Linked DNA regions of Macaca mulatta. The protein of the gene in region 1 purifies or fractionates together with the protein of each later gene. This does not show direct contact. Links are inferred from orthologs where the notes say so. Each region holds a gene or a part of one and is shown in the gene's direction. Other genes may lie near its edges. The genes, in order: OSBPL8 and GLG1.

Region 1 (3,818 bases):
GCCTCCCAAAGTGCTGGGATTACAGATGTGAGCCACCATGCCTAGCCTAGTTTAAGTTTTTACAAAATGATCATTGCTTTAGTTTCTGAGAAGGCCAGTTATTGTAGAATAAAGAAGTTAGAATTTCTCCTTTAGGGAAAACCACCTCATCGAGATTACGGTTAACAAAAAGTAGCTTAATCCTTTTTGTGGGGCGGGGAGGGTATTGCTTAATAATGCAATATACATACACCTAGGAAAAAACTTGTACTTTTTAATCTTTATTTCAGTAGCCTGGAGTCACAGCAAGAATAAATTTGGGATTACCGAGTTAGTTCCATTCTGAGGTTAGGTGCTTCCCTCAGGGGAAAGAATTTAAACCCCCGAACCTCTGACATTTATATATTAAGCGATTCTCAAGTGGAGAAAATGACTTTCAAAACCTTTTTAAACAACAACAACAAAATATATGTATACATATACACATATACAAAAATACTATATATACACACATATGTGTGTATGTATATAAATATAGTATTCTACTACTCTTAGGAATTGCAAGCATTAAAATAAATTTTAAGCCATTAATGATTTTAATGTCAAATTTATAATATTTAATTCTTACTATTGGAAGAAGAGAGAAATCTGTATAATTATATAAATACTTCCCACAAGCAAAACCTACTTAGGATATTGTTTAAATATTTTGGAAGCCAGTGTTTATGATTAGGAAATAGTAACAGCTATGAGTTCATGTCAGGTACTTTAGTATTTTACATGAAATCATTTATTTAATTCTCATACCTATAAGGAAGATACAGTTTCTTCCCATTATACACATAAAGAGATTGAACTCTGTTTTTCTAGCATGGAGCCATGATTGAAACCCAGGCGGTCTGATTACATGTCCCACTGTATACTGGTTTTAGGAACTGGCCCATAAATTGTAAAGCTATTTGAAAATGCAGAATATTACGGTATTTGTTAAAGCCATATTAATTTTTTTTCTGTTTTCATTTTGAATCTACATCTTTACTTTCTGACATTTTATGCGTTTTGGAAATCTGTTTTGTTTTTTGACCTGATAACTTTAAAGAACCCTTTGAAAACAACTTAAAAATTAAGCTTTTGTATCAAAATTATATTTTAAATTCAATACTTAGTTTCCTTTCTATTGTGTCTACCTAAGTTTAGCATTGGTGATATTAATTAGTGTTGGTATTGTATACTTATAAAACAACCCTAGCCAACAACAACAACAGAATGTCTTTTTCTTTCATGTTTCTGGAAAAATAAAATCAGCGTATATAGTTGGTGTTTAAAAACAGGTATATGTCATTGGTTTTAAAGTAGAGATTTATTTTTCCTTAGACCCAGTTAAAATTCATTTCTCTTTTTCTTTTGAATTATAATTCTATTTCCAGATGCTTTCTTTAGCCTTCTAGAAATTTAGTATTTCTTATCTCATTAGTTGTATCCATGGGATGGACATTGTTAAGTTAAAATTTGGTTTAATATGGTAAATTGCAGGTTCTTTTTAGTATGTAAGCAATATATAGAGGTAATATTTAAGTGATAATTAATTTGTTCAGTTTTCTGCTAAGGAGATATATTTGTTAGAAAATTTTTCTTAATACTTAACATTTGCATTATCAAGAATGATGAAATTAAAGCTTATTTGCTTTTAGATTATAATCCATACCTGATTTAGATTATTACAGATAATATTGGATAGTATAAAGTTGAGATCTCATAATACTTACTCTCTACCATTTATTTTGTTTATTTTGTTATTAAGGGTCCAAAAGGTGAAGCGGTTGGATCCATTACTCAGCCCTTACCTAGCAGTTATTTGATCATCCGAGCTACTTCAGAGTCAGATGGTAAATATAGTTTTTGATGGATTGGATTTTGGTCTTCATTTTTAAGAGTTTTTTTATGCCGCTTTGTATTATTCTGGGGAAATATATTTTTAGTATGGCATTTGCAGCAGAAGCATGGTAATCGTAAATTGCTTTGAATGCTAAATATATGAGTAACTTAATAGACAAATAGGGAAATCTGATAGAAAGGAAGCATTGTGTGATTTATCAATGAGTTAGCAGTTCAGAGTTTTCTTCTTCATCCTCCATGGACATATTAACACCTTTTAACTTGTTAGTGATCTTTATGGTAACTCATGTTTTATTTTAAAGATACATTTAATACTTTTTATATTTTACTACTAAATGTTACCATTTATGAGACATATACTGTTTTGTTTTGTTTTGTTTTTTTTACATAAGACATTCGAGTACAACCTTTTTTATTCCTCCTTTAATACTTAATTCATGAAGCAAATATGGGGAGAGAAAAACTTAAGTGATATCAAGGTAGCTTTCAAATCTTAATAACAGATTTTGTCCTCACTTTCATGCTTTCATGTTTCGTAGTTTAGACAAGGTTGGTGTAGGGAATCTTGTAACCTTCCAAAGTTTACTTTTATCTGATGTTTTTTTGTTTGTTTGTTTGTTTTTGTGTTTGAGATGGAGTCTCGCTCTGTTGCCAGGCTGGAGTGCAGTGGCACGATCTCAGCTCACTGCAACCTCCGACTCCCTGGTACAAGCCATTCTCCTCTCTCAGCCTCCTGAGTAGCTGGGACTACAGGCACACGCCACCATGCCCAGCTAATTTTTGTATTTTTAGTAGAGGCAGGGTTTCACCATGTTGGTCAGGATGGTCCCACACTCGACCTCATGATCCGCTTGCCTTGGCCTCCCAAAGTGCTGGGATTACAGGCGTGAGCCACCACACCTGGCCTCAGATGATTTTTTTTTAATTAAAATATAGGTATGAGCTTTCAATATGAAAATGCTTTACTTGACTGATACTCCCAGCAAATCTTGAAGTGATATATATGAAAATTAAGAGCCCCAAATATAAGTGAAAAGTTTTCTGCTAATTCACTTTTAAATTTTTATTTAAAAAATAAAACTATTAATGTTTCTCTTAACTAATATGGCAGTTAATAGTAGCATTATATAGGCATTTTCCTGACTTAAAAAGTTTCATACATACAGGTAGAATGGATGTTAATCTTAAGGATAGACCTTCTATTATCAAAAACAGTTACTTCAGATAGTTTGTTTATAGTAGAACCATAAATCCTCCAGTATATTTTATGTACCTTGCTTGATACCTTCAAATTATACTGCTTGTTAATGTCCTAAGATTTGAAAAATAAAGTATGTTTATTTTAGATTGGGTATACTTTCTAATGCATGCTGTATACTATTCATTTATCAGTGGTTTGTACCTGCTTAGTATGTGAAAAGCATTTGGAAAACTGAAAGATTACATTAAAAAGTTCTAGCAGATGTTATGTTCAGATTAACTTTTCTAGTGCATGTTTCTCAAAGAAATAGTGGTAACAGGGTAAGTTAAGATGCATGCTAGTTTCATAGTTTTAAAAATTATACTGCTTATGAATCTGTGTTCATTTAGGAAGGTGCTGGATGGACGCTTTGGAGCTGGCTTTGAAATGTTCTAGTCTTCTTAAACGTACAATGATCAGAGAAGGAAAGGAACATGACCTAAGCGTTTCATCAGATAGCACACATGTAACTTTCTATGGCTTACTACGTGCTAACAATCTCCACAGTGGTGACAACTTCCAGTAAGTAGATATTGCCACTGATTTGGTAATGTTTCAGAGACTGTGCTGTTCACAAAATTAGTTGGCAGGCCTAGAATTTTAGTAGTGTATCTAGGACTGAAATTTGCATATCTTCCTGTTATATGGCCTAAGACTGGCTTAAAATTTGTTTAGCTGCTGTAATCAGGTGTAGAAATGTATT
Region 2 (4,311 bases), on another chromosome or scaffold:
CTAGTGACATCTCAAGGACTTCTGGTGATGTCTCCAGCCTGACTGAAACTTATCTATGCCATGTGTTTGCTAATAAACATGGGGCTGCCTTAGTCAATGCTCAAGGTTAGCAGCAGCCTCACGATCATTTTAAGGCAGTAACAAAGGTGACCGTTGGTGGAGATGCCAACAAGCTCTCATTCCCCATGATAGAGGCCTGGGGTCAGCCACAGTGGGTAATTTGTACTCACAGAATATCTTCAGTCTCAGGGGCTCCTTTTAGGTTCCCTGAGCTCCTGACTTCTCAGGTTCTAGTTATGTCTAATCTGGTCTTGACTGATCATTTGTGGGTCAGGACAGCAGAAGCTGCATTTTTGGACACAATGACCAGGGAAGATTACACATCCCAAACTGCCCTGATTCCCCAACATGTGTATGGACAAAGTGGGATAAAAGTGCACCAGGGTGGTGGGAAGCCCCAGGGATTCTGGTGGCTAGCCTGGCTGTCTACAGGATGGCAGAGTTCTTCTTGGGCCGCTCATTTAATCCCTCCGCACAGAACTGTTAACATCTCTATGCCATTCTTCAGCTAAATGAGAACCTAACGCAGGCCTGATGCATGGCTCAGATTACACAGCGGATGTGAAGAGGCTTTGGGAACATATCCTTTCTCCTAAGGACAGGGAGGGGATGCTAGCGTGGGGTGCCTGCGATATTGCATGCAGGTCAATGAGAACAGTTACCGACACAGACTTAACCCGAGTCCTCAAAGTGTGTTTTATTATTATTTGTTCATCCTTTAAACATGAATCTAAATGTTGGCTTAAAATCAGGATTTACGCACAAAGGGCTTCACAGTTTAACAATACTGGCTATGACTTTTGGAGTTCCATGTTGTGGGCCAGGCACTTCCCTTATTATTATTTTGAATCTTGTCAATGGTACTTTACATTTGAGCTCTTGCCCACTCTATCAGAGCAAGGATTATAACCTTAATTTTTTTCTTACCCCAAGACCTATGCTCTTAACCCTATTCAATGCTGTCTCTCTCTTTGGCTAGGAAAGACTTCTGAGGCAGGTGGAAGGAAGGAGGGAGCGATGCAAGGAGAAGCTTTCCGATTCCGTAACACACCTGGTTGTGCAAAGTTCACCTCTACATATAAAGTTTTTGTTTTCCAAGTCATTGAACCGGCGACATATTCTACCGGCCATTTTGGTTGTGGCAACCCCAATTCCCTTGATTTTTTTTCTGTGACAAGAAAGGGAATTAGACTAGGCCGCCTTGCCCGGGCTTTTTAAGAAACCCCACCAACCACCCAGGTAAGAAGCGCCGCTCTCCCAGCCGCGGGTCCAGGGCGTGTACGGTTTTCAGTGTAGCCTCTTCCTTCGCCCCACTCTGGACTTGCGGGTCGGCGCCGGCAGGGGCGGGCCTCGGCAGGGCCACGCTGCCACGCCCGGCGTCTCCGCCCCCTTATTTAAATACGCGGCGCCGGCGAGTGCGTCGAGCTCGCCGCGGACCCAAGATGGCGGCGTGTGGACGTGTACGGAGGATGTTCCGCTTGTCGGCGGCGCTGCAGCTGCTGCTGCTAGCCGCGGCCGGGGCCGAGAAACTCCCCGGCCAGGGCGTCCATAGCCAGGGCCAGGGCCCCGGCGCCAACTTTGTGTCCTTCGTAGGGCAGGCCGGAGGCGGCGGCCCGGCAGGTCAGCAGCTGCCCCAGCTGCCTCAGTCATCGCAGCTCCAGCAGCAGCAGCAGCAGCAGCAGCAGCAGCAGCAGCAACAGCAGCAGCAACAGCAACAGCAACAGCAGCCTCAGCCGCCACAGTTGCCTTTCCCGGCGGGTGGGCCTCCGGCTCGGCGAGGAGGAGCGGGGGCTGGTGGGGGCTGGAAGCTGGCGGAGGAAGAGTCCTGCAGGGAGGACGTGACCCGCGTGTGCCCCAAGCACACCTGGAGCAACAACCTGGCGGTGCTCGAGTGCCTGCAGGATGTGAGGGAGGTGAGGAGGTGGGACGAAGCCGGGAGGGCCAGGCCTGGTGCGGGCCCGAGGGTGTTGCCAGCCTTGGAAGACGCTGACGCCGGTCGGCTGCTTTTCTCGCTTCCTCTGTGCTGCACTCGCTCCTTCCCTCTTTGCTCCTCATTCCCAGGCGCATTCAGGGAAAAGGATCCCACCCCCACTTCTATTCCCTCGCCCTTATTTCCCTCCCTGTTGCCGGGGTCTGGGACGAAGACCTGGACTCCTGGCCGCAATCCGCGGAGGCCCAGAGCGTGTCTGTTCGCTCCTGTCTTTTGTGTGATCCTCTATACCGAGTGTCTCCTCGCCGAACACCAGTTTAGGATTTTGCGATCAGTTTTGACTAGGACAATTTGTGGCAAGCCATTTAAACATAAAAAAATGCCTGGCGTACTTAGGCTGTAAAGAACGATCTGTTTATTAGCAGTAGGGGTTTGATCTGCTGTTTATTACAGTAGATGTAATTCGCAAATCCATCTTCTTGCTGAAATAATGTATGCTTTGTTTTCTTCACTTCCTTTGGTCAGTTTGTATTGAACCCCATGTTTAGGCTGTTAACTCCGAGTGACTTGGCGACCCAAAGCTTGAAAAGTTGGGGAAGCATTTGAAGCTGTGTTTGTGGCTGGGTTATGGGGTCTTGCTTTTCTGAGGTCTCAATGTGATTTTAACAGTATCTGTTAATGAAATCTAGATTTGCCATTGCTTGGTGTGATTCAGTTAAGTGACATTGATAATTTATAATCTAGGTTTAATGCTGCAGACTGTAAGTGCATATTTGACAATTCTCAAAGTTTGGGAGCAAATCTGACAGTAGAAACTTTTTCCAGAGGTGTAAGTATTAGAATTAGCCCTAAAGGTTGACACATAGAATAAAGCTGCTACTTGATACTGTTTTTAGCTGTTTTTTTTTTTTTTTAAATTGTAGTATCAGATTTGTTTACGGCGTTCAAGTTATAGGAAGACCACTGACTTGTAGAAATTTGCTACTCTTGGTTCATCTCATGCTCTAGTATTCTATACAAAAGCAATTCAGATAGAGGAAAAGACATACATAAGCAGGAGACAGAAAGAAAGGAAGTTTCCAGAACCACTGGAAATGCGAGGCCTTACCTGACTTCTCATCTTCAGCTTGAAGGCTAGAAGGATAGTCCTCTGATAGATACAGCTAAGATTCCTAAGTCGGGGTGTCAAACTTTTTGGAATTTTCTTTTTGCTCTTTGAGGACACATAATAGATGTCGTTTCATCAAACTACGATCCTAATACTGGTGACCAAACACATTATTAGTGGTTTGTGGTAGAAACAGCACTTTATTTATTTATTTATTTATTTATTTTGAGACGGAGTCTGGCTTTGTCGCCCGGGCTGGAGTGCAGTGGAGCGTTCTCGGCTCACTGCAAGCTTCGCCTCCCGGGTTCACGCCGTTCTCCTGCCTCAGCCTCCCGAGTAGCTGGGACTACAGGTGCCCGCCACCACGCCCAGCTAATTTTTTGTATTTTTAGTAGAGACGGGGTTTCACCGAGTTAGCCAGGATGGTCTTGATCTCCTGACCTTGTGATCCGCCTGCCTTGGCCTCCCAAAGTGCTGGGATTACAGGCGTGAGCCACTGTGCCCGGCCAGAAACAGCACATTATTAGGGAAAGTGGCAAAAAGTGCCTACGCAAGGAGTGTATATATCCTTATTCATGTGTATTCCGGACATTTGGAAACCTCCACTTAAAGGAGGCACTTTTATGCTCCAGAGGAGGAAAGGTGTCATGTAAATTGGAAATGGGAGTTTTGGGGGTTTAGGGGGAGGGGGAGGAGCCAAATTCCCAATTTAATGTTTTTTCCTCCAGTTTTTACATACAGAAATACTGAAAGAAGAGTACTGTGAACACCTGTGTATATTCTTCAGGAGGTGGAGTTATTTTTAAACTTCTTTTCTTTTTCCTTTTCTTTTTTTTTTTGATACGGAGTCTCACTCTGTTGCCAGGCTGGAGTGCAGTGGCGTGATCTCGGCTCACTGCCACCTTCACCTCCCGGCTTTAAGCAGTTGTCCTGCCTCAGCCTCCTGAGTACCTGGGACTACAGTTGCGTGCCACCACGCCCAACTAATTTTTGTATTTTTAGTAGAGACAGGGTTTCACCATTTTGGCCAGGATGGTCTTGATCTCGTGACCTTGTTATCTGCCCATCTCGGCCTCCCAAAGTGCTGAGATTACAGGTTTGAGCCGCTGTGCCCACCTTATTTTCTTTTCTTTTTTTTTTTTTCTTTTTTTTTGAGACGCCCGGGCTGGAGTGCAGTGGCACGATCTCGGCTCACTGCAAGGTCCACTTCCCG

The links.
Region 2: the proteins of OSBPL8 (region 1) and GLG1 purify together in Homo sapiens (co-immunoprecipitation; 3 studies listed by BioGRID and IntAct, with this or other methods). This does not show direct contact. The link is inferred for Macaca mulatta from reciprocal best matches to the Homo sapiens genes OSBPL8 and GLG1.

What each region holds. Positions count from the first base shown.
Region 1 is NC_133416.1:83,542,514-83,546,331, reverse strand, and holds part of OSBPL8 (oxysterol-binding protein-related protein 8), read left to right. Parts: intron 1-1,780; coding exon 1,781-1,865; intron 1,866-3,465; coding exon 3,466-3,637; intron 3,638-3,818. UniProt on the Homo sapiens protein: Lipid transporter involved in lipid countertransport between the endoplasmic reticulum and the plasma membrane: specifically exchanges phosphatidylserine with phosphatidylinositol 4-phosphate (PI4P), delivering phosphatidylserine to the plasma membrane in exchange for PI4P, which is degraded by the SAC1/SACM1L phosphatase in the endoplasmic reticulum.
Region 2 is NC_133425.1:69,910,698-69,915,008, reverse strand, and holds the start of GLG1 (Golgi apparatus protein 1), read left to right. Parts: upstream 1-1,482; 5' UTR 1,483-1,502; coding exon 1,503-1,973; intron 1,974-4,311. UniProt on the Homo sapiens protein: Binds fibroblast growth factor and E-selectin (cell-adhesion lectin on endothelial cells mediating the binding of neutrophils).